Linked DNA regions of Canis lupus familiaris. The protein of the gene in region 4 purifies or fractionates together with the protein of the main gene of each other region. This does not show direct contact. Links are inferred from orthologs where the notes say so. Each region holds a gene or a part of one and is shown on either strand. Other genes may lie near its edges.

What was found.
Region 1: the proteins of RBX1 (region 4) and FBXW11 purify together in Homo sapiens (affinity purification with western blotting; 4 studies listed by BioGRID, with this or other methods). This does not show direct contact. The link is inferred for Canis lupus familiaris from reciprocal best matches to the Homo sapiens genes RBX1 and FBXW11.
Region 2: the proteins of RBX1 (region 4) and FBXW2 purify together in Homo sapiens (affinity purification with western blotting; 3 studies listed by BioGRID and IntAct, with this or other methods). This does not show direct contact. The link is inferred for Canis lupus familiaris from reciprocal best matches to the Homo sapiens genes RBX1 and FBXW2.
Region 3: the proteins of RBX1 (region 4) and FBXO11 purify together in Homo sapiens (co-immunoprecipitation; 4 studies listed by BioGRID and IntAct, with this or other methods). This does not show direct contact. The link is inferred for Canis lupus familiaris from reciprocal best matches to the Homo sapiens genes RBX1 and FBXO11.
Region 5: the proteins of RBX1 (region 4) and FBXW8 purify together in Homo sapiens (affinity purification with western blotting; 6 studies listed by BioGRID and IntAct, with this or other methods). This does not show direct contact. The link is inferred for Canis lupus familiaris from reciprocal best matches to the Homo sapiens genes RBX1 and FBXW8.
Region 6: the proteins of RBX1 (region 4) and BTRC purify together in Homo sapiens (affinity purification with western blotting; 5 studies listed by BioGRID and IntAct, with this or other methods). This does not show direct contact. The link is inferred for Canis lupus familiaris from reciprocal best matches to the Homo sapiens genes RBX1 and BTRC.
Region 7: the proteins of RBX1 (region 4) and FBXO21 purify together in Homo sapiens (affinity purification with mass spectrometry; 3 studies listed by BioGRID and IntAct, with this or other methods). This does not show direct contact. The link is inferred for Canis lupus familiaris from reciprocal best matches to the Homo sapiens genes RBX1 and FBXO21.

What each region holds. Positions count from the first base shown.
Region 1 is NC_049225.1:41,241,322-41,244,821, reverse strand, and holds part of FBXW11 (F-box/WD repeat-containing protein 11), read right to left. Parts: intron 1,930-3,500; coding exon 1,819-1,929; intron 699-1,818; coding exon 620-698; intron 1-619.
Region 2 is NC_049232.1:74,240,788-74,244,287, forward strand, and holds the end of FBXW2 (F-box/WD repeat-containing protein 2), read right to left. Parts: intron 851-3,500; coding exon 562-850; 3' UTR 176-561; downstream 1-175. UniProt on the Homo sapiens protein: Substrate-recognition component of the SCF (SKP1-CUL1-F-box protein)-type E3 ubiquitin ligase complex.
Region 3 is NC_049231.1:50,897,462-50,900,961, forward strand, and holds part of FBXO11 (F-box only protein 11), read right to left. Parts: intron 3,454-3,500; coding exon 3,331-3,453; intron 3,244-3,330; coding exon 3,158-3,243; intron 2,209-3,157; coding exon 2,132-2,208; intron 2,042-2,131; coding exon 1,898-2,041; intron 1-1,897. UniProt on the Homo sapiens protein: Substrate recognition component of a SCF (SKP1-CUL1-F-box protein) E3 ubiquitin-protein ligase complex which mediates the ubiquitination and subsequent proteasomal degradation of target proteins, such as DTL/CDT2, BCL6, SNAI1 and PRDM1/BLIMP1.
Region 4 is NC_049231.1:25,236,048-25,240,004, forward strand, and holds the start of RBX1 (E3 ubiquitin-protein ligase RBX1), read right to left. Parts: upstream 2,801-3,957; 5' UTR 2,719-2,800; coding exon 2,641-2,718; intron 732-2,640; coding exon 653-731; intron 1-652. UniProt on the Homo sapiens protein: E3 ubiquitin ligase component of multiple cullin-RING-based E3 ubiquitin-protein ligase (CRLs) complexes which mediate the ubiquitination and subsequent proteasomal degradation of target proteins, including proteins involved in cell cycle progression, signal transduction, transcription and transcription-coupled nucleotide excision repair.
Region 5 is NC_049247.1:13,931,001-13,934,500, reverse strand, and holds part of FBXW8 (F-box/WD repeat-containing protein 8), read right to left. Parts: intron 705-3,500; coding exon 498-704; intron 1-497. UniProt on the Homo sapiens protein: Substrate-recognition component of the Cul7-RING(FBXW8) ubiquitin ligase complex, which mediates the ubiquitination and subsequent proteasomal degradation of target proteins.
Region 6 is NC_049249.1:14,339,408-14,342,907, reverse strand, and holds part of BTRC (F-box/WD repeat-containing protein 1A), read right to left. Parts: coding exon 3,414-3,500; intron 1,773-3,413; coding exon 1,523-1,772; intron 995-1,522; coding exon 876-994; intron 1-875. UniProt on the Homo sapiens protein: Substrate recognition component of a SCF (SKP1-CUL1-F-box protein) E3 ubiquitin-protein ligase complex which mediates the ubiquitination and subsequent proteasomal degradation of target proteins. Recognizes and binds to phosphorylated target proteins.
Region 7 is NC_049247.1:14,090,847-14,094,346, forward strand, and holds part of FBXO21 (F-box only protein 21), read right to left. Parts: intron 2,603-3,500; coding exon 2,481-2,602; intron 1-2,480. UniProt on the Homo sapiens protein: Substrate-recognition component of the SCF (SKP1-CUL1-F-box protein)-type E3 ubiquitin ligase complex.

The DNA.
Region 1 (3,500 bases), on a different chromosome or scaffold from region 4:
AATAGTCCTAATCACAGTACTGCATGTTCTAATCAGTGCAAGAAGCAAAAAAATAGAAATAAAAGGTAAAGCTACTGAAAATAAGAACAAGTCTATCAATATTTTCAAACAACTGTCTCCTCATTAATGTAACAAAAGCAACCAGACTATTAGAAATAATGAGCCTGCCAAAGTTGCTAAAACAAGATTAACACATAAAAATAAGGTATTTTTATATGCCAAAGCAATAATCCATACAATATAGATTAAGGGGAAATTCCATCATAATACAAACATGTGCTATATTATAAAAATATAACGTAACCAGATACCCATATTAAGAAATCTCCCAAATCTACAGGAAATACTTTGTACTCTAGAGGAAACCAATCCACCTACAAATGAGGATGCCTGCTTTCACATATTAAGTTGTATTAATGCTCCTTGGGAAAGAGCTCCCTGTAATGTAAATGTCAGTTATTCTCTGCTTTTGGCTAAACAAAATGAACAAAACAGCGCATTTCTCTGAAGGCACACTGTGATGAGATACACAAGCTTTCTTGTGATACACCTAGGCAGGTCTATCTGCAGGTATCATCTTCCAGGGCAGGAACCACTCCCATTTCAACAGATTACATACCACCAATGTGCGCAAACACAAAGTGCTTGCTGGGGCTCGAGGGTCAAGAGCAGCTTGCAAGTCCCAAACTTTAATTTTCCTAGAAAATAAATGGAGATTGCGATTAGTAGAAAAGTTAACAACATTTCATATACCGTCAGGAACTTCCTTGATAGAAAAAAGTACATCTGAACTGCTATTAGAAAAGCTAATGGAGGGATCCCTGGGTGGCGCAGCGGTTTGGCGCCTGCCTTTGGCCCAGGGCGCGATCCTGAAGACCCGGGATCGAATCCCACATCGGGCTCCCGGTGCATGGAGCCTGCTTCTCCCTCTGCCTGTGTCTCTGCCTCTCTCTCTCTCTCTGTGACTATCATAAATAAATAAAAATTAAAAAAAAAAAAAAAAAAAAAAAAAAAAAGAAAAGCTAATGGAGACTGCTTATGTCGTAACAAGTCATTTAAACCATTTACACTTGATTTTGAAAAAAAAAATAAGGACCTACACATTCTCGGAATTATTGAAACTGTGAAGAAATATTTTTTAAGGGAGATGAGAAAACAACTTCAGGCTATCTAAATTCAGTTCCTGACCTGATAATCTATGTCACCAAATTCATTAATCAGAGGGCTTTCTGGAGCTGAGTAGGTGCTGCTGACAGAAGCTAGGACTCTCTGTGAAATTCCAAGGATACCTTTCTTCGAACTAAGCAAAGGAGTATAAACAGACCAACTAGTCCATTTGTGAAGTATACATAAAGTCACCTTGAAAGGTTTACAGTTGCCATTTGCTCATTTAAAAAGTCCTGAGGCTTTTTTAAAAAAGAGTGTTTAACCAAAGGGTAAAGGAAATGGACCACTGAACACACACACACACACACACACACACGCACGCACACACAGCTAACTTAATTTAGGACTGAGGCAAAGAATGGAATTCCTGTACAACCTAAGCTACTTACAAAGTTTACAATAATGGTTACACTAATGGTTAAAAGTGTAAGCATAGGAGTTACAGAAGCTATCCTACTGTAAGACTTGGGGCAAGACCACTCATCCTTCTGGGCCTGAGCGGCTTCACCTGATCAAGTGGTATAATAACATCTGCCATCCATTACACAGATCTAGCACAGAATTGGCACATACATAGTTGCTTAATATACAGCGCTTGTTTTTCCTCTAGATACAGTGATAGTAGTGTATTTAAAAATTTGAAATACATACCCATCATAGGCCCCACTGACAATCCTCTTGTTATCAAACCGGATGCATCGGACCAATTCTTCATGTCCCTCTAGGACTCTTAAACAGGCACCACATTCAATATCCCATAGCCTTGAAAGTAAAACAGATCTCTGTGAAACAACTTCCCACACATGATTCACACTATCCTTGAGTTCTTCATGTCTGTCCCATTCATGATTTTCACTCTCCTGAACTTGTTTCTATCTTCACTCCCAGTCCACATTATACACGTAGAAAGATACATATGTATATTTAGATCATTTGTATATTTTAAAGCACTAATTTGGCGGACACAGGGCTAGCTGAGTCAGAAGAGCATGTGACTCTTGATCTCAGGGTCATGAGTTCGAGCCCCATGTTAGGTGTAGAGAATACTTAAATAAATAAAAACATTTTTTTTTTTTTAAAGAGACTAAATTGGGTAGAAGCCTTCTCATTATATTTCCTTTTATTCAGTTTTTTAATCACATGCATGTATTACTATTCTTTTAATTTTTATTCGGCATTCTTTTAATGTCTGAATTGATGAAACCACGTAGCTAAATGGTATAACAAGGACTTTCCTGGGGGAGACAGGGATTGCAGGCAGTAAAGAGAAAGAAAAGGCATGTGTGTGGGTTGAGGAGAGGATATAGTATGTACAGCCAGGGGTGTTAGGCTTCCAGGCCAGGCACTTCTGGCCTGGAATCCATGAGGCCTGCTAAAGTTAGAACCAGTACACGAGGGGCACCTGGGTGGCTCAGTGGTTGAGCATCTGCCTTTGGCTCAGGTCATGATCCTGGGGTCCTGCGATCAAGTCCCACATCGGGCTCCCCATGGGGAGCCACCTTCTCCCTCTGCCTATGTCTCTGCCTCTCTGTGTCCCTCATGAATAAATAAATAAAATCTTTAAAAAAAAAAGAACCAGTTCATGAGCATGGAGGTTTCCCTCTCCTGATGAGGCTTAGGGACACCCCCTCTTAGATGATACTGCATATTAGGGTTGTCCAGTTTATGAGGTCATAGTGGGAGCCTCTTATTAGGTATATGAAGCATCTCAGAAATATAAACCCACACAATATCCAGACTTTTTCTTGGTGTATGATTTATATGTGAAACTGAAATTTTCACATTTTTCTATCATTGGTTTTCCTACATTGTTTGCAAAAAGAAATCATAAGCACGTACAAAACAAAGTTAGCAAACTAATTCTGTAACAACCTTTTCTTAGCCTCTCTACAAGTAGCTCTTACCATCCGCCCCATGAATATTTTATGACAGCCACCCTCAGCAAATCTTCTCATCAGTGTCAGGGACACTGGCTTCTCTAATCTACTGTGAACAGTGTCATTTAGCACTACCACTGACTCCAAAGTGGTCCCCTCTATAAACTGTAAAGGAATACACATTATCACTTTGTAAAACCTCAGAGAGTCCAGTGAGAAAGTTAAGGACTGTCTACTGCTGAAATAGTTAAGTAATAGAAAGCATCAAGACTCAGGTTCTCATGGTACTTTCATAATACCTTAAAAACTTAAAACGATAAAACTCACAGCAGTTTCGGCTCTATCATTGTGGTTTCATTCCCTCCTTCCTTCTTTTTTTTTTAAACCAATCTTTATTTTGCCCAAACATTAAACAATTTGGTTAGAAAAAAAGCCAGGACAATGGAAAAATGACTA
Region 2 (3,500 bases), on a different chromosome or scaffold from region 4:
GAACTTGCTTTGTCCTGGAAGACAGACCTTCTTTAGAACTGGTATTTGGTGGAGAGTTTATGAATGTCACGGGACTCAGTGGTCTTTGTAACACTGACTGTTATAAAAGCTAAGCCCCATGTGAGAGAAGTTGCTGGAACATCATAGCACCTTTGCTTCAACTTCAAAAGAAAAAAAGGCGATGGTAAAAGCTTTAATAATAGACTGATGTGTTTTTATATATAGGCAACCAATTAGCAGGTTAATGAACCATTTAACTTTCTTTACTGAAAACCAATATTCAAGAAAGATGAACCCTCAATGCACCCTCTTATACTGACCAACGTAACTAAGTACAAATGAAGTCAATGGTGTACCCCGTTAGCATGCTGTGCTGTGTGTCAAGAAAACAAGCCCTCCCCCGCCCCGAGCCCTGGCCCCCTGGCAAACACAGATAAATGATTGTGCACTGCGCGACGATACCGTTAGGTGAGAGCTTTGGTTCATGCAGTCGGCTGCCAGAGGTCGCACTGAAACCCCGCAGCCCCGGCACCCACAGTCGGCGGCGGCCAGCGCGTGGCGTCAGCCGTGCTCCTTCCACAACACCAGATGAATACTGTGGTCGGGCATGCTGGTGGCGAAGACCAGGCCCGTGTCATTGTGCCCATCCAGTCCATTGAGCCAGGACGCTTCGCCCGCCAGGAAGCTCGAGCCTCTCTTTGATTTCCGGTACTCTGGCAGGGGCCAGCGGCTAATCAGGCTCTCGGTCCGCAAGTCCATGATGTACAGGTAGCGGTTGTCAAACAGCAGGGCAAAGATATCTCCAAAGCCAAGCAAGGCCAAGTTTGCTATCTCAGGAGTCTTGATGACCCTACAAAGACGAGAGTTTCGAAACATGAACCAGAAGGCCGCCTTACTTCTGATTCCACTACCGCAATCTTTTCTGGAGACATATAAAAACCAATACAAAATCCAAGACAATGAAAGTTTTCAATAAAATGAAACAGACAAAAAGCTGTACTTCCTTAAGGGGAGGGGAAGGAACCCTTCACATTGACATGGTAACACAGGCACGTAAGGAGAAAGGCAGCATATGATGGACATTTATGAAAGCACAAAATGCCTACCCGGGCTGAAAAGGATCTTATAGATTATCTCATGTAATATCTCATTTCCAAAATATGAAAACAAAAGCCTTGCTGGGATACATACTTTGGCTAAGGATTCACGACTGGTCAGTTACCTGTAAGAACTGGGATGCAATCACTTTACTACTAGGTAAAAAGATGGATTCATCAAATCCTAAAATGCTGGTCTAGGGGAGCCTCCTCAAGCCCAGAATGAAGACTAGAAACCAAGTGATTTACATGCTATTCTATTCAGCAGGTAGCAAACTCTAAAAACAGTAGAGGCTGAAGGATGAGAAATAACCAGAAAATAACCCAGAAACAATAATAAATGTGTCAGAAGTTGTGAGAGAAAACTGGGGGCGTGGGAGGATAGCCTTCACCTTCCCCAAAGGCTGATGACAAAAGCACAGAATGGGAGAGATCCAGCCAAACAGCATAGATAAAAAACAAAAACAAAAAAACACAGTCTGTTGTCTGCACACTTAATGAGGCAAGAACAGTTGATGTCCTCTTTGGAGGCACTAGGAAAAGAGCTACAAGAGAAGGATAAACCAATTCTGCTCCGTGACAGTATGTCTGAGCCCTGTGAGAGGTCAATAAACCCACATTTCAACAAGGACACTACCAATTAGTGTGTGTCCAAGAGGTCAACCAGGAAGGGCAGGGCCTGGTAACCAGGACAAATAAGGAACAGGTAAAGGAGATCAGCTGGGGGCGGGGAATCCGAGGTGAAAGAGTTACAGCAAGCCAGATTCCACCTGACAGTGGAAGGCAGAGGATTTAGTCCTGAAGACCTGTTCCACACTCAACCCGTCCTTAACTGAACTTGCTGGCCAAACCTGTTTCTCTTCCTTGTTTCCTGGCTTGCTCTTTCACCCAACTGCTCACCGTTAGGAAACATGGCAACCATCCAACTCTCCTCCTTAATCAAGCCGCAGATTCAATCACCACAATCTATTGATTTTACCTCTTGAATTTTCTCCTACTTTTTTTTTACTATTATCCAAATTGCCACGGCTCTGATCCAAGATAGTATCTTCAGCCTGCACTGGTCTCCCCCCACCTACTCTTGGCCCCTTTCAATCAGCTAATCTCACCCCCATGTCTAATCCTATTACCACCTCATTTAACTTTAAACCCTCTGAGGGCTCTCTACTGCACTTCACATCTCCAGCACTGGGACCCTTCAGTCTCCGGGCCTTTGAACGGACTGGTCTCTCAGCCTCCACTGCTCCTTACTGCACACCCACTGCTGGCATTTAGTTAATGCAGATACTCCTCCTTCAGGGCTTAGCCCACACCTCTTCTTCAAGGAAGCTTTTCCTTACTCCTCAACTGCTAGGTGGGGTCTCCAAATGCTCCACAGTGTGGCCTTTAACCCACCCATGAAAACAACTGTAGGCAATTAGCTATTTAACGTCAGTCTTGCCTCTTGCTGGTTAGTAACTTCCACCAGTGTGGTATTTCTGCAGGTTACCAGCATAGATCCCAGTGCCTAAAACACAGGTATGCCCCATAACTACCTGCTCACAAATACAGCAGTGGAGCAATGAACATGGGAAAATAAGAACTCCTACAAAGCACATCCAAAGGAAACTGGGAAAACAACAAGAAAGTCCGGTAAGTCCCATATCACCAATGCAAGCAGGAAATAACCAGAAACTTAGATAACTGGGTGGCTGGAAATAGGACTAAAGCCTGGTGAAGATGAGTCGACTCCAAAGACTGAAGCACAAATATGTTTTGGAGGAGAATACAAGTCTTGACAGGCTGGCCTGGCCGCCTCTTTAACTTTGATTACTTTAAAACTGTAAACAGACATCCCTGCTGTGCAGTCTGGGCCCTTGAACCTAAATAACCTTGCCTGCTTGCTGTACGAAGATAACTCAGCTCAAGAGATTGCATCATACCTTAGATTTATTGAGCAACATGCTACCATCTGTGCTTTGCTTCTTTTTAGTTAGCTTCAAAGCATAAGTAGCCCTATCTGATCTTAGCAACAGAGCCCAAAGGAGTTGCATTAGGATTTCAAAAGAGGCTTTTGTGCTGCGGGAGGTGGGGAGGAGGAAAGATAAAACAGCCCCCTTTCCAAGAGAAATCTGAACCTAACACTTCCTAGCAGAAAACAATCATGTAGATTTACTGCTCAAAGCTAGTGTATCCGAATCCCAAAAATTAACACAACTTTCATCTGGACTTCTGGACTCCCTATACACACACTCAGGGTGAGAAAAATACATGAGAAAGGTAGATGCAGCATCACATTAAAACTTTTGGAAACTCAAAGTATTAAAAAGATGATGATACCTCTATTCCACCTTACTTCTGCATCCCTCCCATCCAAGTCTTAATTAAAAACAGAAACAATACTAAATTGTAAAAGGTCTGATT
Region 3 (3,500 bases), about 26 Mb from region 4:
ATTCAAGCCCTGATTAATCCCACTATTATTACAATAATTACTTGATAATTTACTCCAGTTTCTCTTCTATTTTTCCGTTTCCTCCAACTCTTATGTTCCTTTCTCCACTTAAAAACCATTTTCAGAATAAAGTTTAAAATTAAGTTGCTACTTAAAGCCTTTCAAAATGTTCCCCTAACCTATTCTGTTGTCTTACTATGTTACCTATGCTTCTGATTATGCTACACGTTTTTATCTCTAATGCCTTTGGTTTGTGTTATTTCCTCATCCTGGAATGTCCTGCCCTCTTTATTCCTAATGTCATTTTCTCTGGAAGATTTGTTACCCTCCATCAAATTTATTCTCTCTTCTGAGAGTACAACAATATAATGATTAAAAAGTGAGCTGAGGAATCGGACTTGAGGTCTTCAAATATGGATTCCACCACCTTCTAGGTCTGAGTAGGTAAATTATTTACCTACTTTGTCTCAGTTTCCTTATCTAAACTGGGCATGATGGCACCTACATATAGGGTTATAATGAGGATTAAATGAATTAATACATGCGACAGTACACATGTGAAAGTAATATTACTCCTATAAAACCCACTGAACTATCAGTTGTGTACTAGCATTTCTCTGCTCTCTGAAGACATGAAACTATTATTTCTGTGGACATTGAATACATCTGTGGTATTTCAGTTTTGGCCTCTAAATTGCTTTCCACTGGAAAAGACCATTTCAAAGTCCCTACCTCTAATCTGCTTCTGCTAAGATCCAGTCTGAACTCGCCTACAAAGTCTCTTAGGATTTGGGCCCCGCCCCTTCTCTAGCCTCAACTCTAAGTACCTCTGTACACCTTACTAAACCACTTTGTTTCCTGTAGACTTCTGTTTACAATGTGCCATTAGACTATAAACTTTCTGGATGTAGTTTTATTGACCATTTTTAGCATCTGTATCAGTTGGTACAGAGGTGTTCAATTAATATGTACAAATGAAAGTGTGAATTATGCCTTCTACATCTGGAATGGCCTCCCCACCCCACAATTTACCAGTGAATACTCATTTTTCAAGACATAGCTCAAGAGTGATTTTAGTCCATGAACCTTTTCTTCACACCTTACAAATAAAACCATCCACTGTATTGCATTTGTTCATTATATCCTGTAAAGACTCCTAGGAGATCTGTCACCTTACTGAATTACTAGGTTATGAGCTCTTTCAGAGTCTATGCCATTAATAGAATCATCACTGCTTGGCTGTAGTAAATTTTGAATTATTTTGTAGTAAGAACTAGCTATCCTTCCATATTAGATATGTACAGTGCTGGGTTGCTGACATTTCAGGAATGGGAATGGTGATAAATTTGCATTTGACATTCTCCCCTAATCACTATGAACAACGTGCATTTGCAAGGGGCAGGGACAGTGGAACCTTTGCCTCAATGCAAAATGAGTTGACCTTTACGTACACAAAACCAGGCACACCTTGTCTTCATTAATTCCATTCTCCAACAAACAGTTGTAAACAGGTACAAAGCAATACTTATTTACTACAGACATTTTCATTTATTTACAAGCCAATTAATTTCTATCCTAGTTCTATAACTGGACCTTGACGTTTATTATATCACTATTCTAAATAAGGTCCAGAAAAGAGAATAAACAAATTCTACCTTTAAAAAGCCTAACAACTAGCACACTCAAGATGGCTAGAAAGAGAAAAAAATTGTGTAGATCTCTTTCTGCTTTACCTCTAGGCACTAATCTTATAAACTATTTCAAGATTTGGTAAGGAAAAAGACTGAGATTCACTCAATTATAATTCATTAATTGGCAATGTCACTGATCATTAGAGATATGGAGGAAGAATAATGAAAAATTGGATTTTTTACTAATGCAAAATTAACAACAATACCTCGACCCCCATTAAATATACAGATGCCACCATCTCTTCCATCATGGATTTTATTTCTTCTTAGTGTAGGATTACTATCTGTCTTAATCCAGACTCCAGCCATTGCATTGTCAAATATTTCATTGTCTTCTATACAGCCTAGACCTACAAGTGGAAGAATTGAGGTTATGTCATTTGGAAAGTATATTTCTAAAGGCAATTAGCAATAAGAAAAGGATGAAAGATTAAACCTACCAGAATTATAAACAAGAATTCCACCATTCTGTCCTCCCCAGATTTTGTTGCGTCTAATTTTGGGGTTGCTTCCAGTCCTATAGATATAATAGAAAAAAATGCCATCTTAACTGCTTCTATTCCCATATCCCATGTTATGTGAGGTAACAGTGAAAAAATTCATATTAATTATAGTAAGAAGAACTATACAATGGAGTCTTTCCAGATGCTCTGAGAAATTTGTCAGTAAAGACACTAGTTTAATTTTGCTTAATTCTATTTCCCATAGAATACACTTAGCTATAGATTAATTACTATAGAGTCTCCTAATACATAAACTAAACTGAGGAGATTAAAAAAATAGTAGTCACTTAATCTATAAAGATTTTATTTATTCATGAGAGACACAGAGAGAGAGGCAGAGACGTAGGCAGGGGGAGAAACAGGCTCCCCTCAGGGAGCCCGATGTGGGACTCAATCCTTGAACTCCAGGATCACGCCTTGAGCCGAAAGCAGAGCTCAACCACTGAGTCATCCAGGCATCCTGATTAAGTGACTACTATTATGGTATACTTCCCTAATATATAAAATGAAGGGCTGAATTATAAGTACTACTAGTTTCTAAAACTGTTAAAATATAGGAAATAGTGTAAAAAACTATTAATTTTACAGAAATAGTGTAAAAACGGAAGCTCCCATTTACTGAGTGCCTACAACATGCCACATATAGCTCACAAGTGTTTTCATATAGCCTTCTACTTTCCAAGTATGGTGGAGTACATTGGAAACTATGACTGTTAACAGTGGATAATATAACAGTGGAAATGTGCTCTTACGGCAGGTGTATGTGCCACTGGTTGCTTGCCTCAGCTGGTTCAAAAAAACAACAACTATATTCTGACAAAGCCAAGCATGTGGTAAGAGCATGAATATATATACAAAAGGAGGAATAAAGACTGAGCATTAAATAACAAGGAAAGTTCTACATACCCCACATATTACCACCCAACTCCCTCCCAAAAGAAAGCCAAATGTGAAAACATTTACCTTATCTGAACCCCAGAATACATATGATTATAGATATCATTGTCCTCTAGCACTCCATGTCCATTGTCATAAAAATAAACACCAACCTAAAATTAAAAAAAAATGTTTTCAAGTGACAAAAAAGTGTTCATAAAACAACGTATTTCCCATATAAGAGTCCAAAATAATTTTACCTGCTTTCCACTATGTATCCTGTTTCTTCTCAGTACTGGAGTGCTGCCAGTTGTCACCCAGACCCCAGCCAGAGTATTACTATAAACTTCATTCTCTTCTATTACGCCTTGTCCTTTCTCATGCTAAATAAAAGTTACATTGATTACGATATATATCTTCTGGAAACAAG
Region 4 (3,957 bases):
AAACCATTTCAGTACCTGGAAGAAAAAGTAACCTCAGCTGTTCCTGGTGTGATCAACATACTTGCCCCTATTACTATAAGGACACGGAGTCCACGGATAGCTATAATCAAACCCACCATATACTGGCTACTATATGGGATGGAATCTGTAGATTTAAATGAAACTTCTTTACTGCAATTAGTTGTCTATTTAGATGCTGGCACCGATGTCCTCTTAACTTAGGGGCTAACACTGAAATTCCTTACTTCTTTGGCTTCTTTTCTTTATAAATCTTGCCAAGCAAAAACTAGCTTTGGTAGAATATTTTAGCTCAAAGTTTATTTTTTTTTTTTCCTTTCACTATTTTTGCCTTTGAGTCTGGGTATGAGATGGGAAATATAGAGGAATAATCAACAGTGCCTCTGTGTCCACAACTCATTCTAAATGTGTGCTTGCCATCTTTAGACTGAGTAGATTTATTCTGAGAGATGAGTATGTCTCCAGGATATCATTAAATCTACTCTATTTCAAACATACCAACGGACTAGAGGCAGAAGACACCAAGTGTTCTGACTATGCTTTATATCTCCTTGGGAAGAAATTTGGTCACATCAGAATAGCCACAATCTCTGTAACCTTCTCAACTTCCTCCCATCCACCTCCAGTTACTTACAAAGATCCATAATGTGGTTCCTGCAGATGGCACAGTTATCAACCACAATATCCCAGGCCCAGAGAGCTACTGCATTCCACTGCAAAGAGAAAAAGGGGGAACAATGCACTCTCCTTGTAACACAGGCGTACACACACTCTAGGATTTCATGCTGCAGCTACAGTTATCATCTCTTTGGCCACAAGGACCACCAGACACAGGAGCTTGGGGATATTACCTTACTCTTATTCATTTTATCAGAGGGCAACAGCAGACTACAAGTGTGCTCACCCATTTTCCAAAAGGCTGAGTATATGAACATAAATTAATGAATCCTCTTTATTTTCTCCTACAGCTTACAATAATTTAGTCAACTGTATCAATGTAAGAAAACCGGGAATAATTTTTGAGAGCCTGTTTTAGGCTTAATAAGCACAAATTTGAATTTCTGCAAAGGTAAATATACGCTCTTCAAGGCAGCTGTGAAGGTATGAGTGGGGAGGTGAAAGCTGGGGACAGAATGAACTAAGATGATGATTGGATCATAAAATGGGTAATCGTGGGATAAGCTGGATAACTAATTATCCAGTGTCAGTACAGAGCAAGGTCATCACTTAAATCTCACAAGATTATTTCACAACAAATTCTAGAATTCACTAAAATTTTGGTTAGTTCCTTCCATCAAATAAACTGGTGTTCTAAACTTTTACAAGCTCAGGCTCCTATTTAGTTCAGATAATTCCACTTAAGAGTTCATTTAAAAGCGGTATTTAAGTAATTCAACCTTTCTGGCTTCTGCAATTATAAATATCCCCAAACTCCCTTTTCATCCACCAATTTGGTGCCACTTCCAAAACCTTCATCTCTTTCGAACGCAATTCCCCGTCTAGTTAAACTTCTTTAGCACTTTCCGACAGCTTCAACTTGAACGGGGGAAAAAAAAAAAAAAACACAACAAAACCCTATTTCTATTCTTCAATATGGCTGCTGGCTGTAACTGAGCATGCAGTGCCCACAATGAAACACCAAAAAAGCACTAGGAGGGGGGAATATTGTCAGTGTTTAGCCAGATGTTCCAGGAATAACATTTCCCCTATTTGAGTCTTCATTTTGAACAGATTTATTTTATATCATGTGAGAATCGGCACTTTCCTCCCAAACTGTTGGCAAACCACTATAAAGCAGTTCATGCAAAAAGACACGTTCCACATTTTTGCTTTCCCACAGTCACCAGGTCGTTCGCCACTAGTACTCAACCCTTCCTAAATGACACAAGGTTTGGGCTCGCATTTTCTTTTTAACAAATTCCACCATGCTTTCCCCCCCCCCCCCCCCTTTTCCTTTTTGGACAGAGGGATTCTGGAAACGAGCACAGGACTGTGGAGGCTGTGTGACAAACCAACAGACCTCTCAGAAGAGCCAAGAGTTGTTACACTGGAGACACTTTAACTCGGCGGGGGCGAGGACTAGAGAGAGGGCTGAGGGAGGCCTCGAGGAGGCGAGGACCAGGCTGGGGTCCCTCAGAGTCAGAGGGACCCCGAGCTTCGGGAAGGGGCGGGGCAAGGAGATCACCAGCCGGGCTCCTCAAAGGCCTCCACTGCGGTAGGAACTCAGGTCCCGGCTTTCGCCGCACTGCCCCCATCCTCCACCCACCGCAGCGCTCCGACTCCCCCTTCCATCCACCCCACCCACTCCTCCCCACCCCTCCACCACTCCAGTGACAGCTCAGGCGCTTGGCTCCCTCAGCCAAGTCTCAACCCCGCGCATCTCAACAAGCGCCTCTGTGATTGGCCCCTCAGACTCCTAGTGAAACCAATACTGCCATTGGTAGTGGGCCCCAGTCACGCCGATCAACTCTAAGACCCGCCCCCCAGCTTCCTTTCCTGGTACCCGGTCCCAGGAACGCCCTGAAATGAAGCCCTTTCCTCCGCGCCTCGGTCATCCTCGGGCCTGCCAGCCAGATCCGCGCCTCTCTAGCCTCTCTGAGGAAGGCGCTGGCGAGACCCAACCTTTTTCACTTCAAAGCGCTTCTTGCCCGCGCCGCTGTTGGTGCCGCTCGGGGTATCCACATCCATCGCTGCCGCCATTTTGGAAACACACGGTCCGTCGTCCGGCCACTGCGCCTGCGCACCAGCGCACGCCTCGCTCCCCCTCCCGGCCCGGCACCTCCTCTCGCACCCCGCCCCTTACTGGCGCGCGAGGGGCAGGTGGGGGCGGAGCACGTGGCCACGCCTCTTAAAGGCGCTGGCGCAGGTCCCTCCCTCCTCCTTCCTGCCGCCGGCCCCCGAGTCGGCTGGGGAAGAGGCGGTGGCCGGGGCGGGGCCGGGCGGGGCCGAGCCGACGTGCTCGAACCGGGTGGAAACGCTCGAAAGACTAGTCTCCTCCCGCGGGAAGCCCCCGGCCGCGCTCCCTCGGCTGGGGCGGCGGCTGCTTCCTCCGCCTCGGCCGCGACCTGCCGCCCCGGCCCCGCCCCGCCTTCCCCGCTGCCGCACCGCTCCAGCGCCGGCGGGTCTTCCGCAGCGTTCCGCCCGGGGAGCGGCCAGGGCGGGCGCCCCGCCTCCTGCAGCCGAAACCGGAGACCCCGCAGTGTCGCGGGTCTCGGCTCGCTTCCGAGCCAGGCCCGACGTGCAGCCTCGCTGGGAAAGCCGGGCCCAGGCGCCGTTAGGTCCCTGATTCCGATTCGGGAAATGCTCGGGATTCGACAGGGAGCCGGGAGCTCCCCGAATGTCCTCTCCAGGGCCCAGCCGCGTAGGCATTCTCCCGTCCTGCCTCAACCTGCCCACCTGGAGCCTCGGGGATGCCGCCGCCCGCCCGCCCCAAACGCCATCCGTGCTAGAATGCCCTTTGGTTAAGGCGCAGGGTTTCAGTTTCACATACTCTTAACACACCTTTCCTGTTCCTCAGTTGGCCACCTAACTGTGGGGGTCCCCTCTCCCTGATCTCCATCCTCTTCCCGCTCCTTGCGCCGTGGGCACACTGCAGTCCTACTTGACTTTGTGTGAGGCGTTTGGCCATTGATTCTTACTGGTCGTTCCCAGCCAAAGCACCTGTACTTCATGTCTGCACCCGGAACCCCTTGTGGCTCTCTAACCCTGCAGAGGTATGACTCGGCTAGATCACTCCTAAATCTCGTATTGGCTTATTTGGAATCTCGTATTTTCTCTTGAAAGAAAATTGGAGCATAATGGAGTGTATGGACTCCACTGCCAAACCGGAAGAACTGCGATTTGTTTCCTTGCCTTAGTCATAAACAGGAACAACAAATCCATGAAAACACCACCAGGGCTTACACCAGACTTGGAAAGAGAAAAATTGTGTGAGACCTT
Region 5 (3,500 bases), on a different chromosome or scaffold from region 4:
AATAGTGAAAGCGACCTAACTGCCTACCAGCAAGGGGGCTGAATAAACAGACTATGGGTCGTAAGCATACACCGGAATCCCAGTGAGAAGGAGCATGGTATGTGCTGACAGGGAATGCTCTCCAAGGTAGATTACTGAATAAAAATGTTGAGTACAGGACAGTATGTATACTATGATCTCATTTCTACAAAGATAAGTTTTTAGTGTATAAATGTACCTATAAATGCGTTAAATTTTTCTAGATGGACACCTAAAAAATGTTTAATAGTTTCTTCTGTGGAGGGAGGCTGGGGGAAGGCAGGAGAAAGGAAACAGTTACTTTTCATTTTATATCCTTTAGAAGTGCTTGAGATTCCTCTTTTTCACCATGCTGAATATATAGTGCCTGAATACACCTTATAAAATATAAACAGAGAGATTTAATTTTTTAATTGCCTTATAAAAAATAAAAATCAATGTTCTTTTTTTGTTACTTATACATCTTACTATTTTTGTACCTTGTTTCCTTCGTATACCCATCCTAGACTCTTCACACCAAAAGCAGCCTGGTTGGCTGAGACATCCAGACATGTGACTGGCTGGCCGTACACATAATGGAGGGTTCTGGCAGAGTCTTCAGCCTTTAGCAGGTATACCAGATCTCCAGCCGTGGCCACTGCCACAGGGTACCTTCCAGTATCTGGTACTATTTCAAGGTAGTCAACCTGTGAAAGGATAAGAGTTATGTAGCCCATCAGATCTCACCTATAGTTCCTCCTGACTTGGTAAAAAATACAATTTCTCCTACACATCAATAAGGCCAGCAACCCTAACAGAAAAAGACAGGCAAAGGGTCACAGTTCACAGGAAATGAGAACATAGTTCTCACACTAACAAAAAAGTTGCTCTTTGTAAAAGAAACATGATATATTCCTAAAAAGAGGAATGTGAAATAAAAATTCAGCAATACCATTTTCACCAGTCATATCAGCAAAGATCAATTAGCCTGCTAGGACACTGATCTAGAACTAGAGGAAGGGACAACCACATTTGTGGATCCCACTTATGGTTGGTGGGATGTAAACTGGTCCAGCCTCTCTAGAGAGACACTGGCAAAACTTACCACAATGTCAAAGGCATATGCGCTCTGAACCAGCAAGTCAGCCCTAGGAATTTATTTACAGATAAATTCACACATATGCAAAACAACTGTGTACATGGTTACTTACTGTGGCACTATGTTGTCTTAACTAAAACTGGGAAAGCCTAAACATGCCTTATTAAGAGACTAATTAACAGTGTATCTATTGGAATACTATGCAGCCACAGAAAACAAGCATGAAGCATTCTTTATAAACTGATACAAATGGAATCATCTCCAAGATAAATTTGGGGGTGCGGGAGGCAAGGAAGCAAAGTGATATGATTCACAGTGTGCTAATGTGTGTGAAGGGGGGCCAGGGGGACCAGAGGTACCATGAGACATATATGTGGCTTATGCAACTATAAATCTGCTAACAACGGCTGCCTTTGAAAAGGGCACAGAGTTTTTTGATGGAGTGGAAGACAGATTTCTCCCTGTAAACCTTTCTATATCTTTTAAATTCTGAACCATGAGGGTATAACTATTCAAAAAATTTTAAGTTTTTTTTTTTTACAAGAAATTGAATGAAATCCACTCCGTTCCAAATTAGCACACTTCACATTTTAACATTTGTGCAAATACCAAAAATGATATTTGTGTTGCTAAAAGACTAAAAGTACCTGAGTTACATGTCCTCTGCTGGCTTCAATGTCATCGAGGGTAGAAAGGCTGCCACCAGTACTTTTATGCCACTTCAGTACTCCTGACTGCATTATTGCAACACTTTCTCTAAACTGCAGGGGAATGAGGCGTTCCCTTTAGGAATAATTTGCTTGTCTATGTCCCGAAGTGGCACATTTTTCCTGAGCACAGTTTACACCAGGTTTTCACCTCGAGTAAAATCTGAGAGCACAAAAGCAGAAGGTGTGCCATGCTGTGTAATTATGAAAACCACTGTGTAAAAGGACAGCACTGCCCTGACAATAAGCCAAATGAGTTCAAAAGCCTGAATCCTGAGGACTGTCCAAAGGAGCTTGGGAGAGCGTAAACATCCGGGTGACTATGCTAATCCTCCGGCCCAAGAGTGAGCACGGCCCCACATCCCCAGCCAAGAACTCATCACAAAGGACAGACGTTCTCAGCCAGTAGTACAAACTGGGGAACACCGCCACTGTGATTCAGGGAGCCTATCTGGGGAAGACAAAAATGGCCCAGCACTAATGGGCCAAGAGGTGCCTTTTTCAGTGACAGCATATTCTATGGCAACCCCTAACCCAGGAGGAGAAATAACACATAAGAAGTATAGTAACACATGCCTCCAGCAGTGTCTGCTTCCTTCCTCTCTCTCGTATTCTAAAACTCATTTCTTATTTTCCTAAAATCAACATCCTCAGTCTAGCCATTTAATTTCACTTTACTGTTGGAGTATTGACAGACCAAGAGGCTCATATCGGCTGTGGTTGTGCCATTCGCCAAGAGCTATAAACTACTTCAAAAAGCTTCTAGTCTATGCCAGAACACCACCTTATTGCCAAGGCAGGATTTACCCTGTATAGAGGAACTCACATCTTAAATAATTGTCTGAATTCATATAATTATTGCTAGTGTAGAATGTTCTTTAGGTAGAGACCAAATAATAAACACTATGGTAGTTTTAAGAACAAACAGAAAGATAGTACTTCCACATTTTTCTAATAAAACTCCAAAAGGAGCATCAGGCTGTTTGGGGAAACCACCACCCAAACTGTAGAAATTGGTCTTTAAGGGACGAGAAGCTTATTGGGGTGAAGTGGTGACACCATGGCTTTTTAGTTACTCAAGCCTAACAAGATTTCTAGCAGGGTGAGAAAGGGAGGAGAACAAGATCTGTTCTGGGTTAGACCACCAATTCATCATTCAATACCGGCTTTTCTGTTCACTCCTCCAGTACTGCCAAAATCAAGTGTTTAAATTAAATCTAAATTTAGCACAGATTTGAGCTCTTTCTTCTTACCACAAAATCATCTCCTGCCATATAAACATGGAGGCTCAAGTACAACTATACTTGGAGATAGGATCTATGTGAAGAGGTCTTAAGGTTGGCTGAGTCTCACACAGGACACCCTGGAACGCGGCTATCCAATTAACACTGACTTAAATTTATTTTCACTCAGGAGTTACTTTTAATTCCAGGTGAGAAAATCTTAGGCGGAAGAAAGTGCAGGATGGAAATCTTCCTTCCCATATGGACTGGGATGATACCACTGAATTCATTTTCACTTCTATAATAGGCCAGAAACCAAGCTCAGATTTCCAGGGGTGAATGTGAAGAAAGCTGAGGACCACAGCTTCAGACCCAGATGAGAAACCTTAGCCTTAAAGTCAGCCCTGAGGCTTGAAGCACAACTTCCTAGCTTTGAGATCTGGGCAAAGCCTCAGATTGGCTCTAAGCCTCTAT
Region 6 (3,500 bases), on a different chromosome or scaffold from region 4:
AACGTACAACTCTTGATTAATCTCAGGCTTGAGTTTGAGCCCCATGTTGGGTATAGAAATTACTTTAAAAAAATAAAATCTTAAAACTATATGCTTTTGGACCAATCCAAATGAAATGAAAATTTCCTTAGACCTAACAGTAGCTCTGTTGTTTTCTAAAGGAGCCTTTTTATCTTCTTAGTACTTTTTGAAGGAAGGGAAAGGATTGATAAATCTTCCAAATTCTATTCATATCTCTCATTCATCTTTGTGAAGGGAAAACACCAAAAAGTACTTCAATCTGTGGATTCTTCATAATTTCAAAGGCTAGAAACTCCCTGGATAATTATGTAATGTGAAGAAAACAGTGTACAATTTCTAGTAGGGAAACAAATCTTTTTTCTTTCTTTCTTTTTTTAAGAATATTGGTGGAGAGAAAAGGCCTTTGGCTAGTTATTAGCACTTTTTAACTGTACACAGGAGGAATTTAAAGAGGAAGGCCTTCAACCTCCATCTACTTATCACTCTTGTCCACTTCCTCGTTACCTTTAAAACAGGTAATAAAACTATTATAGAAAGGAAACCCATCAACAAAAGGCTTTGCTGTGCTATCTTTCTGCTTGGGGCAAACTTTATTTTTTTGTGGCAAACTTTTAACCTAGAAGAAGCTACAGAAAGGAAAAACACCTGGGATGCCCAGCTAGTGTTTGACTCTTGATCTCACAGTTTTAAATTGGAGTCCCATGCTGGGGTAGAGATTACTTGAAAATAAAAATCTTTAAAAAAGAAAAGAAAAACGTTATAAATATCATACACTTGAAAATTTGTTTCCTCTCTCTAACAATGAATGGCAGGGTAAAAGTGATCCCTTCTGGGTAAAGGCACTTGCTGCTCACCTGATAGTATTGTCAGATGAGCCACTCACAACCAGTCTGTCTCTGTACTGCAAACAGGCAATGCCACGTTTGTGTCCATTTAAGGTCCTTACAAATTCACAAGTACTTGTGTTCCATACCTAAAAGAGAAATTGCATTTGGCAGTAGATTTGATGCTTTTACTAGTAAGATCTATGGCAACTGGAGTCTTGGAGAAGCAGAAAACAGCACTGAGCCAACAGCAGTAAGTCAACTTCTCAAACCAAACCAAACCAAATCAAAAAGAGAAAAGAAAAAAAGGACAAGTTTAATTCACAATAACATAGGGCTAATTTGTACCTGGCTGCTATCACATGAGAATTCCTCAAATTAATTTACTCTTAGGGGGTTAGTCTGGTTGGCAGACAAATTTTCTTAAAGCTAAATTTACCCCTGCCCTTCTAAACTCACCATTATTTATAGGAATAGACACCAACCAAAATTTTCACACAGCTTGTCTCACTTGTTGCCTTTTTACACATAGACTAGTATCTGAATTAAATATTAAATTACTCTACACTGACATTTAATATGAAATTTCCTTGGACCAGATTTTTTTTTTTTGGACCAGATTTTTACATGAACTCCCTTACTCTAAGTTGGGGACTTACTGAAAAATGCCTCATTACCTTTATAGTCCTATCTCCAGATGCAGAAACGATGTACTTGTCATCAAAGTCTACAACATTGACAGCAGCTCGATGTCCAACTAGTACCCTCCGGAGGGTAATGTCAGTTGGGGAGGCCATATCCCATACAGCAATGGAACGGTCTTTAGAGCAGGTCACCATCATGCCATTATTGAAACGTAAGTGCAGAACTGCTTCACAATGGTGAATTAGCGTGTTTAGCATTTCACCTGTATTTACATCCCACACCCTGGAACAAAGACATTTAGAAGGTTATCTGAGGTTTCGATGGTGTTCCTGGCTATAATCTATTTGACCACCACATTCCCTACCCTTCCAGAGAGCAGAGTGTACTTTAAGGCTGAGCTGAGGTGAAGAGTTTTGATGGCCAATGCGGAACTGATAGATAGAGGGCTGGACTAGGAGAGTAGGAAAAGGAAGGGATAGGATGTTGCCAATGTGAAATTCTTCAGACACACTACTGAGTGTGAGTTATGAGGGTTATGAATGAGGATGTAACCACCATCACCTATAAGTTGGGCCCAGATTTCAAGGTTATTATAAAACTTGACATTCAATCTGCTATCTTTAATGAGATACATTTTAAAATAGGAATCTGAGTAATAGCAGTAGCATTAGTGTCCCATCAATAGCCCTCAGGAAATAGAACTGACATAGGCCAAGAAGCTTCTGTAACAGACTGACGTAGTACTGTGGATTCGAGCTTAATAATGCTGGGTTTTCAGTCTCACCATACAGGTCAGCGCCAAGATGAGCTATACTCTAAATCTAAGGCCCCATTTCTGTGCCTTGAATGGGGGTAAAGATCAAGAATAGCCATCCCATTGTAAATGGGGGCTTCCAGCAGCAGAGTGTGGGACCTTTGGATAGCTTGAGAATTTTGTGTAATGATATATTTTACTTTGATTACTCTATTTTTGTATTTTTACTTTGATTTCATAACACATTTCCTTTTTCAATTTAACCCCATTTTTAGAAAATAATTTTGTCCCTTACCCTATAAATGATGTTAGTCTCTACAATGTTTTGGCTTCCTTGAGGCACTCCACAGCATCAATAAATGTTAAATGTCGATAACTCTAAGAACTGAGTTTGCTATGCCTTTAAGTCAAAAGATAAGAAACAGGAGCAGCCTTTCCTATTCACAGAGGATAATTTTGAATGGTAAACATTTAACTTCAGAGAATCTAACAATGCAGTTAACTGCCTTTTTTTCTTTTTTCTTTTTTTTAAGTTACTTTTGATGCATTATGTTTGCTAAATCCTTTGGCTTAAGGCAAAACTCCTAACAGAGGGTTCCAGCAGTGCTGCTGGTACCCAGAACTCAAGCTACACTGGACTCCAGCAGCATAATGGCTGCGTCATCAAGTCACTAACGCCTCTGGAAATTGAGGGCCCCTCCCTGAATAAAGCTTGCAATTAAAAACTGCAGGGATAACATGGGAGGTGCTGGCAAAGAGAGCGCAGTGCTCACCTGTACACATTTCAAAGGAGATAATGCATGCCTATACCACAGTTATAACCACCTAAAAGGAAGCTTTATTCCATTCACATCATTTCCCTGTGAGGTGGTTTTTCTAACAAATGCAAGGTTTACCAAGTTTCTATAATGGATGATTCCCCCAAATTAAAATAGAATATGTAGTTTCTTCAATGGGAAAAAAATGTAAACTTGCCTTAATCATTCCTAAATCAAGTTTTCTAGTTCTAGGTGGACAATGATGTGGAGAGCTGATGGTTTATTCTTCTTAAGTTATGAAGTTTCAGAACTGTGTTCAGGCAGCTATACACAAAATTACTAACTTTCTATGACAAAAAACAGAGGAGATATGGTATTCCAGAGTTCAAAAGATCATTTGAAATTTTCTACCTGACCGTAGAATCCGATGATCCCGTTATGATCACCCTCTCATCATACTGGAGACACAGGACAGAACCCGTGTGGCCTGTGAGAATT
Region 7 (3,500 bases), on a different chromosome or scaffold from region 4:
ATAGGAATTATTGAAAAAGTTCCTATTTTTACTCTTTTCTTATCAGTTTGTCACTTAGCCCGGGCATCTGGGGCTAAAGTTCTTTGTACCATCCTACCAGATAAAATTCATTCGTGGATGGCAGATATTGCTGCTATTACACAGAGAAGAGCAACACTCTAATCACAAACAAGTTTACAAACTTTTTTTTTTTTTTTTTTTAAATAAACCAAACCCTATCTCAAAGGTCATGGACTCAAAAAAACCAGCATGTTCCCTATTCTATTACAAAGAGAAATAAATGCCATAAAGGACATCTTTCCAATAACTGAAAACATAATGGCTAAGACAGTTCCTTTACTTAAAAAAAAAAAAAAAAAAAAAAGACTGAACGCCCTCAATGAGAGATTTCTACAAATTATACCCATCAAGGGTTAACAAGTAAGTGAACTCTGGAGATAATTGTACTTTTGAATTAGAGAAACAGTGACACTCAGGGAACCAGCAGCAAAGACGTGTACAAGGTACATTGGAGACAGGGTCTCTGGAAAACTCCTGCTCAGCTCTTTACTGTCTTAGGCCGTTTTCTAACCAAATGCCAAAGGGCTAACTTGGTCATTTGGTTAGAAGACATTTTCACTTGGGAAGCTGTATATGACTTTTTTTTTTTTTTTTTTTTTGAGTCATTTTAAATTCAAGAGGTCAGGATCTTGACTCCCTACTCACACTGCAAGGAGTTGGAAGCAGGCATCAAGGGATTTAGACTAGACCCCAGCCTCAGTTTTACCCCTAGCTAGGGAATGGCTCCTACGCTTTCCTGGGATGGAGTTTCCTCATTTGTTGGCTGAAGGACTTCCCCAAAGTGCATTCCATCCTAATGCTCTGATTCCTAGACTTTGTTAATGCTATTAGATTATTCTTGTCAGTCACCAAGGATCAAAACCCTAGAGCTGACTTCCACTTGCTCAACTACTTAAAAACTTCCAATGGCTACCCAGTGCCCACAACACTGATTTGCAGGAGTTATTGAAAACCATATTATTACTTAATATTTGGAATGTGAAAAAGAAATGATTGTCTTCATAAATAAACTACAGAAAACGAAGCCTGTCAAATTATTGAACAGAAGATAGGCTGACTCTCCACTCCAGTACCCATAGAATATCCCACCAGGGTGGTGAGGCTGTTTGATTTTGATCAACTGAAACAGAGTTTTCACTTCTTTTTGGATGAGGACACTTTTACACACTCAAGAAGAGTCTACACCAGACACTGTGGAGAACACAGTGATCATAATAATGTAGGGACAAGGGACACAAGAAATGTTAAATGTTAATGCTGGAGAACAAAATGCACACACCTGAAACGGGACACTATACAGTGGTTTACTAGTCAATGCTATTGCATGTATGCCTTCTGAGGTGAGTTAAAACCTGCAAGTGTTGCAGTAGTCAGCAAAAACCCAATGGAAGTTAAATTTGAACCGAACTTTCATGGCCAAGTAAGATTTAAGAGGGAATTCTAAGAAAACGGGGATACCACTATTGAAGATATGAAGCCAGGAGGGAAGATAATGACCTGGCTGGAGCAAAGAGGGTGTTTTAGAGAGTAATGGGGAAAGGTCTGGGGTTCAGGGAAAGTCCAGATTATGCAAGGCACTGAACAGCAGGTTAATTAAAAAACAAAAAACAAAAAAAAACAAAAAAACCCAGGACATTAGTTGGCCAGAGTGGTGAAAAGGCCAAGTTTCAGGCTGAACTGATGCTAGGTGTCAGCAGCCCTGAGGCTGAGATTGAAGTGCCACTTCGAAAGTGGCTGCCGGAAGTAGGGGTGACAACCTGCCTGACCACAGAAACAGAATGGGGACATGCAAACACTGGAAAGGAAGAAAACTGATGAACTGGTAAGTCAGAGGGGCCAGGGAATGAAAATGAAGGAATGGTCATAGCCGTACTTCACAACCACAATTTATGGCAGTGCTTATGTAATATGCTAGGAATTTAAATTCGTTTAAAAAAATGAAGTCACATTTGTTTTTGTCTGACTTAGCAGGAACAAAGTTATTCCCCTCATTTCTGTCCACTCGACTTCTTTCTCACTTCTCATTATGAACAAGCCAACTTACTAACATGCAAGAACACCTCGGCCTCATTAAACTCCGACCAGGAGAGGTAAAGGGATTTGCTGAAGGTCACACGGAGACAAAACTGGACAAATTTATTTGACTTGGAAATGACGCTTCAAAGCTTGGAAAAAGAGAATTCAACCTCATTAGCTAACTTACTAACCTTGTGCTTTGAACCAATGGTGCATCCTTCCAAAACACTATCTCTTCAGCTGACAGCCAAACATTCTGGCAAAATCTTAGCTCTAAAGTTTAACAGTTTTGCCTGCCTAAATGATCAGAAACCCACTTTTCCACTGTTCCACCTTCAGGGATGATCTCCCTCCTCTGAGGAACAACTTAGCTGCCTGTCGAAAGATCACTTGTAGAGTCTCACCTTCAAGATACGATTCATAGTCATCAGGCTGCTGAAGAAATGCCTTAAGGTTATTTAAAATTTTCTGTTGGCGTAGGTAGTAAAGAATTTTTTTAGCATAGTATTTCCAGGTCAAAGCTTTTCTGGAAAACAAACAAACACATCAATGAGCATTAAGATACTAAAGCCTTTGACTACCTTATTTTTTACTTTGAGCTACTCCTAGGATGCAAAGAGCCTACTTAACAAGAAAAATGTAAGTCGTTCGCGTCCACATAGTACTTTTTATCCCAGAAGCAGACAGCACAATTCAAGACTTTGCATTTATAAGTAACAGTAAGTCATTCGTGCTGAAATCCAAGGAACACTGACCTGTTTGGCTTCAGATTTACTAAAAAGAAATCCAAGAGAAAACTGAAGAGCTGGGGTAGCTGGCTGAAGCTCAGAAACCAGAGGTGAAGTGTCTGGAATCCTTTGCTGGCCCGTGGGCACCTGCTTTAGGAAACTCAGGCCTTGGCCTCCTGCTTTTCTCCTTCTACGCTCACTGCCATGGTGATCTCATCCCGTCTCATGATTTCAAATATTCTCTCCACTGACAGCCCTCAATTTATTTTCCAGTACTCATTGCTCCTCTAAACTCCAAACCTGTATATCCAACTGCTACTCCACACTCCAACTTGGCTATCTGGTGAATTCCTTAGGAGGGCTTCCCCTCCCAGTCATCCCCCTCAGGGAAAGGCAACTCTGCCACTGCCATCAGGCCGAAAGCCTTGGCGTTCTTGCCTCCTTGCTGGCTTGCTCTCAGAGGCCACACTCACTCCGTCCACCAGTGCTACTCGTTCTATCTTCAGAGTCCACTGGACATGTGAACACTTCTCACTAACTCATTTAAGCTGCCACCATCTTTTGTCTATATTATAACAGCATACTAAATGAGCTTCCAGCTTCCAACGCTGGAAGCTTCTATAGTCTCTCCTCCACACCGTAGCCAGGGTGCTTCAGTTAACGTGGTTGAGTCACAGCACAAAAATCCTCTGCCCC